Linked DNA regions of Zea mays. The protein of the gene in region 1 interacts with the protein of each later gene in a pairwise test. Links are inferred from orthologs where the notes say so. Each region holds a gene or a part of one and is shown on either strand. Other genes may lie near its edges.

Evidence for each region.
Region 2: the proteins of Actin-related protein 2/3 complex subunit 2A (region 1) and Actin-related protein 2/3 complex subunit 4 interact in binary tests that used the Arabidopsis thaliana proteins (3 or more experiments, as listed by UniProt). The link is inferred for Zea mays from reciprocal best matches to the Arabidopsis thaliana genes DIS2 and ARPC4.

The regions. Positions count from the first base shown.
Region 1 is NC_050097.1:239,331,132-239,334,951, forward strand, and holds part of Actin-related protein 2/3 complex subunit 2A, read right to left. Parts: intron 3,537-3,820; coding exon 3,367-3,536; intron 3,267-3,366; coding exon 3,189-3,266; intron 1-3,188. UniProt on the Arabidopsis thaliana protein: Functions as actin-binding component of the Arp2/3 complex which is involved in regulation of actin polymerization and together with an activating nucleation-promoting factor (NPF) mediates the formation of branched actin networks.
Region 2 is NC_050100.1:1,392,107-1,396,565, forward strand, and holds Actin-related protein 2/3 complex subunit 4, read right to left. Parts: upstream 2,960-4,459; 5' UTR 2,865-2,959; coding exon 2,850-2,864; intron 2,628-2,849; coding exon 2,562-2,627; intron 2,462-2,561; coding exon 2,409-2,461; intron 2,200-2,408; coding exon 2,172-2,199; intron 1,648-2,171; coding exon 1,573-1,647; intron 1,301-1,572; coding exon 1,196-1,300; coding exon of another isoform or gene 1,136-1,195; intron 923-1,135; coding exon 833-922; intron 707-832; coding exon 617-706; 3' UTR 414-616; downstream 1-413.

The DNA.
Region 1 (3,820 bases):
AGTAATGCCAAGGCTTTAGCAGGGTAGCTATGCCAACAAAAAAGTTTTTTTTCTCAAACACATAGGATAACTACATTTCATTAATAAAAACACCTAAACACTACGCACCCCCTTCATCCATCCCAACCTACCCCACACAAACCACTAGGCCCACATGGACACCACACACGTTGAAAGATCAGAACAGAAGCACCATTGCAGTTCACTTTGGTGGTTTAGGGGTGCATGATTTGGTGCGGTTGGGATGGGCTTTGCGTATTCGCTGGCTGTGGTTGTGGAAGACCGATGTCACAAAGCCTTGGGCCAGGCTTCCTATTCAGATCCCAAGACAAGCTCGTGCTTTGTTTCATATGGCAGTGAATGTTCACATTGGTAATGGAGAGTCCACAAAATTTTGGTCAGACAGATGGCTACAAGAAAAAAGTGTTGCTGAGCTAGCCCCTGACCTTTTCAGAGTGATCCCAAAGAAAGTATCAAAAAAGAGTACAGTGAGTCAGGCTTTCCTTAACAGGAGTTGAGTTACAGATATCCAGGGCGCTCTTACTGTAAGAGTGCTGATCGATTACCTCCGCATTTGTGATATGGTTGAAGGCATTGTGCTGCAGCCAGAAATCCCAGATCAATATTCCTGATAGCTCTCCTCTTCTAGATGCTACAGCAGTAAATCGGCTTATAATACTATGTTGTTAGTTCCATACCATTCTCTCCTTGGAAACGGATTTGGAAGAATTGGGCACCAGCAAATTGATTTTTTTTGTCTGGCCAGCCATCAATAGTTGTTGCTGGACTTCAGAGTTCGGATCGCCTGGTGAAGTGAGTGCTACCACATCAGCCGGCCTGCCCCTTCAGTGATCCAGACGTGAATCAATTAACCATATCCTCTGCGTGTGTGCTTACAAGGGAGGTTTGGACCTGGGTGCTACAAAGATTGCAGCTCCCTGACAAGGTGCCTCTAGGTTCGGCTAGTCGCTTCAACTCTTGGTGGTTCTGTGCCTACGGAACTTTGCCTAAGGAGCTCCAGAAGGATTTTAACTCCTCGGTCGGTTCTCCAGGATCTCCTCTTGAGGTCCCTGGCCCCTACCCCTTAGGTGCTGCCTGATCGGGATCATTTTGTCTGGTCATGATCGTGTAGTTTCTGTTTTGTAGTGGTTTGATTTCTTTTTACTCTGAGTGGTCCTTAACAATTCGGGGGTGTACCCTTTTTCCTACCTTAATAAAATGACACGCATCTCTCGTGCATGGTTTGAGAGAAAAAGACACTGCCACAACACTCATGGCAGGGAGGCCTAAACAAGAGATATGACCAAATTCCTAAGGTCCACAGCCTCAGCAGTGCACCAGGCAGCCCCTGCATCAATCACCATCCTGACCAGTGACCACCACATCTACAGAAGTACTATTGCTGAACACTGAACACATAATCATTGCAATGTTCCCATAGTTCCTCTGTCAACAAGGATGATGAGGGTGTTGAGTCCTTTCCTAGATTGTTTGTCAACTCTTTAATCACTTTGCACCACTAGTTACAGAACGGGAGAGAGTCTAACAGAGGGATCAAAGCCTGCAGCTCAAGTTCATGCGTAAAAGATGAACTGCACATCTTGCAAAAACGCATGAAGTTAAGAAATTCTGGATTGTTCCTCATCCTGATCACAAAAGGGGCAGGATCTTGGGTGTGGCAAGATTCCTTTCTCAAGCCTATTTGCAGTCCAACATCTGTTGAGGTCTGCTACCCATATGAAGCACTTACAATGGTGAAGAGCCCAATATTTGCAAATGCTTTTCCAAGGCACAAATCTGATAGAACCAGTGTTCTAAATCGCCGGAGATCATGCTTAGCGGCAACATCTCCAACCAGCTATGACAGACAATCGCCCATATTACAGCCGCTACGACGTACGTAACAGATAGTCACTCCACCCAGGCTACTGGGCCACCTCTTCAGGCCTCCTTCTCGTCCACACATCTGGAACAACACTGTCCACACATTTCACACTTCTCTGTTTTGTCCAACTCGTGTCACCTTCACACCGTACTCTCTGCAATGCAGCCTCACCTTTGCATTGCCGCCGGAGCCCAGAGAGGATGTTGCTCCCTCGATCCTGCTCACTCACGCGGACGTGCTTGGGGAGCACCGTGACATCATGACCATGGCGCGTCAGTGCCGTAGGAACCCAACGCTCCCTCTGTTTCTCAAGCTAGAGCCGAGTGAACGCATCTGAGGAGCGTGATGACAGAAAGGTGCCAGATCGACGAGTGGAGGCAAGAGGCCAACACGCCACCGGTGGTCCGAATACCTCCCAAAACAGAGCCGCTGCTACTGTTACATGCAGACTGCAGAGGTAGCCATCCAGAATCAAGCAGCGGTGGACAGCGAGGAAGGTCTCGGCCAGCCCTGCAGATCTCCGACAGATAACGGGTAAGCAGCGCTAACTCATTCGCTGTTTAGTATATTTCTGCATACTAAATCGGGCTATTAGCGGTTAGCGCCTTGTGAACTTTCCTAGCGGCACACCCGTCCAGCCGCGATCTCCTGCTAGAGCAACCACTGTAGCCAGAGATTTAGAACCTTAAATACAACCCATGAAGTAAATAGTGCTGGTCTTGCACACCATCATGTAGATGAAAATTTTCCAAAAGATCCCATAATTTCAGATAATCATCAATGATGCGAACTGAGCAATCACACTTGACATCCCCAATCCATTGCCTATTTTTAAAAAGCTTGGCTCATTGTTCTTTGGCTGTGTGCACGACAAAGGACAAGGAGGATGAGATTGGGAGCTATTTCAGCCACCATTTTGCCTTGCACCCAACGATCCGTCCAGAATTTGGTTGTTGTCCCATCACAGGGCCATATTAAACATGGCTTTCGCATTTGGATGAATCTGCACATGGAGTCCCGCCCAAGGCTTGAGTAGGATTGGTCTTTTGGAGCTAAAACCAACAGATACAGAACTATAGAAGCGCCCAGCAGAAAGTAAGAGTTTTATTTGAGCATAGAAAACTCCTTAATTGATGAGTTGCTGCAATAAATACATTGCAGCATGAATTGTTAGCATTATGATAGATTAAATTGGCCTTTAGTGTCAAATGCAGTTGGTACGATAAACATAAAAGACAAAAGACCATGAAGAACAATAGGCCAGGAAGCTGATGAAAGAGACAAAAGGAAGAATCCAAAATACCTGCAGGAAGGAAGTTGCTAAAACAATATCAATGGAGTCCTGGAATCTCATTGGATACACAATAGTAACTTTATCTGCCTGAAGAAACAACACAGTGAATCCCATTTGTTGCAAATGATAGAATTAGTATGGCACACTTAAGTGATATAATTTGATATTGATGTCCCTAAAGTTATACCTGGGGAGCAAGGAAAAATGATTCATTAGGGCGGTGAACAAGAGCAACAAGGTTGTTAACATTAGGTGCAACTGTCTTTGAGGCTAAATGTTTCAGCAGGAGCTTCAGTGGTGCACCCAACACAACCTCTCTAATAGATGCAATTTGTGTCAAGATAGTATTCCTTTGCTCTGAAATATAGAAAAGAAACAAATGGTTAGAAGCTACAAATACAGAGAACATGACTCATATAGAAAAATGATCACATTTCAGGAGATGGCTATGGCTTTGGCAGACTTATCCTGAAGAGAATACAAGGGCTTAAATGTAGAAGTGATGGATGAAAATAGAAATATAAAACTCCCACATCATCATCAAATAAATGTAATGAAATGAATGTCAATAAAAACCTAGTATGGTGACCTAAAAAGTAAAAAACACAACACTTCAGCAGTGCAGAGCCAGCTTTATTCCA
Region 2 (4,459 bases), on another chromosome or scaffold:
CAAACGAGGACAATAAATTCATCACTTCCTAGTTCAAATAATTCAAAGTGCATCACTTGCATATAAGAATACAAACTCGACGGCGGACAAGTGATTTTATGGTGATTAACACACGAAATAAAATATTGGGAGTATGAAACAACTCCCTAAGTATAGGGTCTAGAATAGAGATATTTAGAAACTTGGTATATTTGAGGACCTCATTTAGGAAACTGTTGGAGGATGATTTTTTGATCGATAACACCCTAAATTAATTTTAGGAACAAGTGAAGATGCTCTTAAGCCATAATCAGCAGATTCCTTATCCAACCTCCTATTTAAAAAAATAATGCATTAGTCACGCCACAACGCCAACAGTCGGTGAAAAACAATGAAGGCCTTGCAAATGAAAGAATAATTAAAAAACACAGGAATTGATCACATGAACAATCTCAGAGCGCTATGTGCGTCCTGATACTGCAATTGTCAGCTGTTAATCAGGTGGCCCAGGGCCACGAATGCATCTTTGGCAAGGCATTTACAAGAGCTGTCGTATAAAAAAAAACTTAAAGCTGTTGCAGAACGGCAGCTTAGTTGCAGGCCATGATAATCAACACTGACTACGGCCATGGCCGAGTCATAAGAACTGCTTCAAGAATTCAGTGGCCACTAGCCGGCCACGAGTGTTTACTGACAGCTTCAGCTCGCTGATCTCCTTGTCAATATCCTGGGGTTCATGTAAGCAGAATAGTGTGAGTACGCTGCCAACATACAAACAACGTTGCATCTATCGACCAAAAGAGAACAAGCGACAAACTCAAAGCCATGCCTATGCTTATGCGTATGAACTTACCTCCATAAATTGCACGATGAAATCTATGAGCTTGTGCTTATGCATGTCCTCACAATGGTAGTTTGTTATCAGGAAACTGATATCATAGCCCTGAAACATAAGGCATAATTTGCCACCAGTTCAGTCGTGAACAATTTAGATTTCTGAAGGGATAAGCAGTTATGTTGATAACTTGGTAAAGCTGAGCTCTATGTGGGAATACGGCAAGATAAGAGGGGAGAGAGAGAAAACTAGTACAACAAATGTTAGCAAAAATATGGTCCATCATCCAGCTGTCCACAATGATGTATCCCTGTGCCTTACAGGTAGTTCATGTTTAGTACATAAAACACTGCTCAAGGTAATCAACGTTAAGTTGGAAACCTGAACCGGTTTTCTCCTCAACACTTGGAATGCCTCTGCCCTCATTGACAAAAACCTAAGGAACTTCTTGGCAAGAATGTTCTCCAATTCATCTGCCTGCTTAACCTGCCAGATCAATCAGAAGCTATAAGTATATACCAGACAGCAAATGGTTGCATGACAAAACGTATTAAACACAAGCAGATGCAACACATGTGAGCAGGCACCAAACACTGCCATCGGGTCCACCTTTTTAGTTTGTATCAGGAATATTTTCTAACAATTTTGCTACCAAATCATACATCAAATCACAGTAGCGTCCAAATAATATGCCAAATGTATAGCAGCACTGATACCCCAATAACCATTGAAAAATCCCACAAAGCTCTCCAGTGTACCTTCATGCTTATTCGTATGGAGTTGATTGAAGTCTCTATCAAGCATTTTTCTGCTTCGTTGCGGCATATCAGTACCTGTACATAAATGTAGGAGTATGAGTCACAATTCTCAAAATATTAACAGAACTTATAAATCTCTTCCAAATAAGCATAAGGGATAATGTAAGTTACATCTACAAGCAAACATATACTTAATTGGTTTGGCAACAACAACCAACTTATCTTAAGTGGTATCTTGGTAAAAAAAATGTTCTAACAAATATCGGCAACCATTTTTTTCCACAAAACATAAATCACTGAAAATTCCATCGCAGGTCAAAAGAAGATCCAGCCTTGAGTAATCAAGCTTAAATTTACTTAGGAATGTTAAACGATGAAACAGAGCTGTCCGTGATTCTTAGCTTGGTATCATAATAGTGCACTTGTTCCAACTAAAAACGACGGCACTGCAATCATTAGTAGTCCATGTTTTGCCATGTTGGGTTTAGTTACCTCGTACATATTAGAACACACTCACACTGTCTCCAAAAAGAAAATAAAGGTCGATAATGAAGGGTTGTAAAATGAATTTAAGATACTGTCAAAGAAGTCTCCCTCACCGGATTCAGCAGAAGTTCAGGGCTTGTCCTGTGAATAAGATTAAAAATGAAGATGGATTAGTAAGGGCAAAACGATATATCCGCATGAGCCTTTAGGAAATTCACGAGCAAACAAGAATTGTGTTATTATTTATAGGAGTCAACATGGAATGGGATATGAATTATGAAGGTTAAGCACATGTGCCAAGGAAGAAGAGCACTGAACAACCATTGTTGCCTGCTTGCAGCATGACTTACTTGAGCTCCACCTCCGGTTTGTTGTGCCTCTCGACTTCTTGGCAAGGGAAATTCTGGTACCAGAACAAAAGGACAAACCATCCACGTTACGCTCGTGGTGAACTGGGAACAGCAGCAGGAGGAGGAGCCTCGAGCAGAAGCAGAAGAGAATACCTGGAGGCACATCGCCGCCTCCAGAGTGTTCCGGATGCAGGTGAGGTACAACCGCAGCGTATTGGCCTGCGAAAAAGAGTCGCTCGTTAACGTTTTGAGATGTCGATGTGTCTAGCACACGCCGAAACGAAGATAGTTTTTGCCAGATACTGAAGTTATAGCAGGCGTAATACTACAATGGGGATACGCTACACTTGCAGTTACGATCAGATCCGAATACGAATAGCCAGATAGCTTAAGTTAGGGTTCGGGCGTTCCGTTTCGCGCAGCAGGCAGGGGTCGGCATACCTGGTGGGTGCTCATCGCCGGCGAAGAGCCGGACGAGAACCTGGGCACCTGGCGTAGGGCGGCCGCGGCGGTGGCCCAGGCGTCGCCGGAAGGGAGAGAGATCACGCAGGAGTGAACGAGACAAGCAGCAGGCCTGATGCGTGACCACGGGGCCTCTCCTGGGCCGGTTTTCTTGGGCCGTTCCTTAAAAACGAAAGTATACATGTTCGCCTAATACAGGGGAAGAAAACGAACGGGTTCGGGATAGCCTACCTCCCGTTTTTTTCATATTTTATTTCAGAAACGGGATTAAAAATGAAACCATAAAAAATGGGACTAGTTAGATGATAAAACGAATCAAATTAGAATTAAACGTAAAAAGTGAAAACATTGCCGCATGGAATATAAAAAATAAAACAACATTGCGATCAATTTAAACATCACTTCTAGACATACACAAGCAATATATATAATAGAAAGCTCTAGCCCAACGATGTCATCCGGTTCAGCCGCACCAGGTTCGGGCGGCTATAAAAACACATCCAGACCGCTATGGATTAAGTTTTAGCGGCGGTGGCGATCCTAGAGGCCAGCGGCGGTGGCGTCCCGAGCCAGGCCACCGGTGGCGACACTCCCTAGGATCGAGCGACGACGATGCTCCCGAGACGGGCGGGCAAGTGGCGACGACGCTCTTGAAGTGGACGAGCGGCGACGGCGCACCCTAGGCCCTGTGCGCGACGACGGTGGCGCGAGACGCGATAGGTTTCGGCAGTAACGATGGTGGCCACGGAAGACGTGGGTTGCTCCGGTGGTTCAGCGAGGCGTGGTCATCTCCGACGATGGCGACACGTGAGGCATGGGTGGCTCTGGCGTCATTCGATGAACAACTCCTCTGATCCAGTGGCTTCGACGGCGTCCTACGGTGACGACCTACTCCAATCATTTGTTTATGCATGCAGCTGTTGGTTGAGTCCATACTAAGTTTTTTTATTAAATATGATATACCGTGTAGGTACTTATGCGACCTTCTGTAACAATTTATGTTTTACGCGATATCAGTCATCCAACTTTTGTGTGTATGCCATAGAAACGAAAATGACCCTCAAAATTTGTGCGCATGCAATAGAAACTCCCACGACCTACCATAGTTTTCGGATCTGCATATATAAAAATATGAACTGCATGCATGTGCCTAATGGTTGACATATTGGTAAGATCTGCCAAATAAATAGAATCATGGATGTGTCTGGTGGGGTACACGCCTGAATGCATGTTCGTGGAGGAGGGACGACATACAATCACATACATATTTTTATGTCACTTTATATACATATTTATAGCAACATTAAGAGGTTTGCAAGAACTTTCAGATTGGATCAGTATTTTACGCTCATAACTTCAGGTTTTTACGCTCAAAACTGAAGGTTTTTATCCACCAGTACACTTCATGTCAGATTTTTACGCAATGTACTGCATTGCATAAATAGCTACACAATGTAGTATAATTTGTATCAATATATATCATAAACTAGTGCTAACGAGCCTAGCTGATTGGTTGTTGGAGAGATCTTATATTTATGGAGAAATTAAAGCATTTAAATCAGATTTTTTGTTTTCATACATGCCAATAT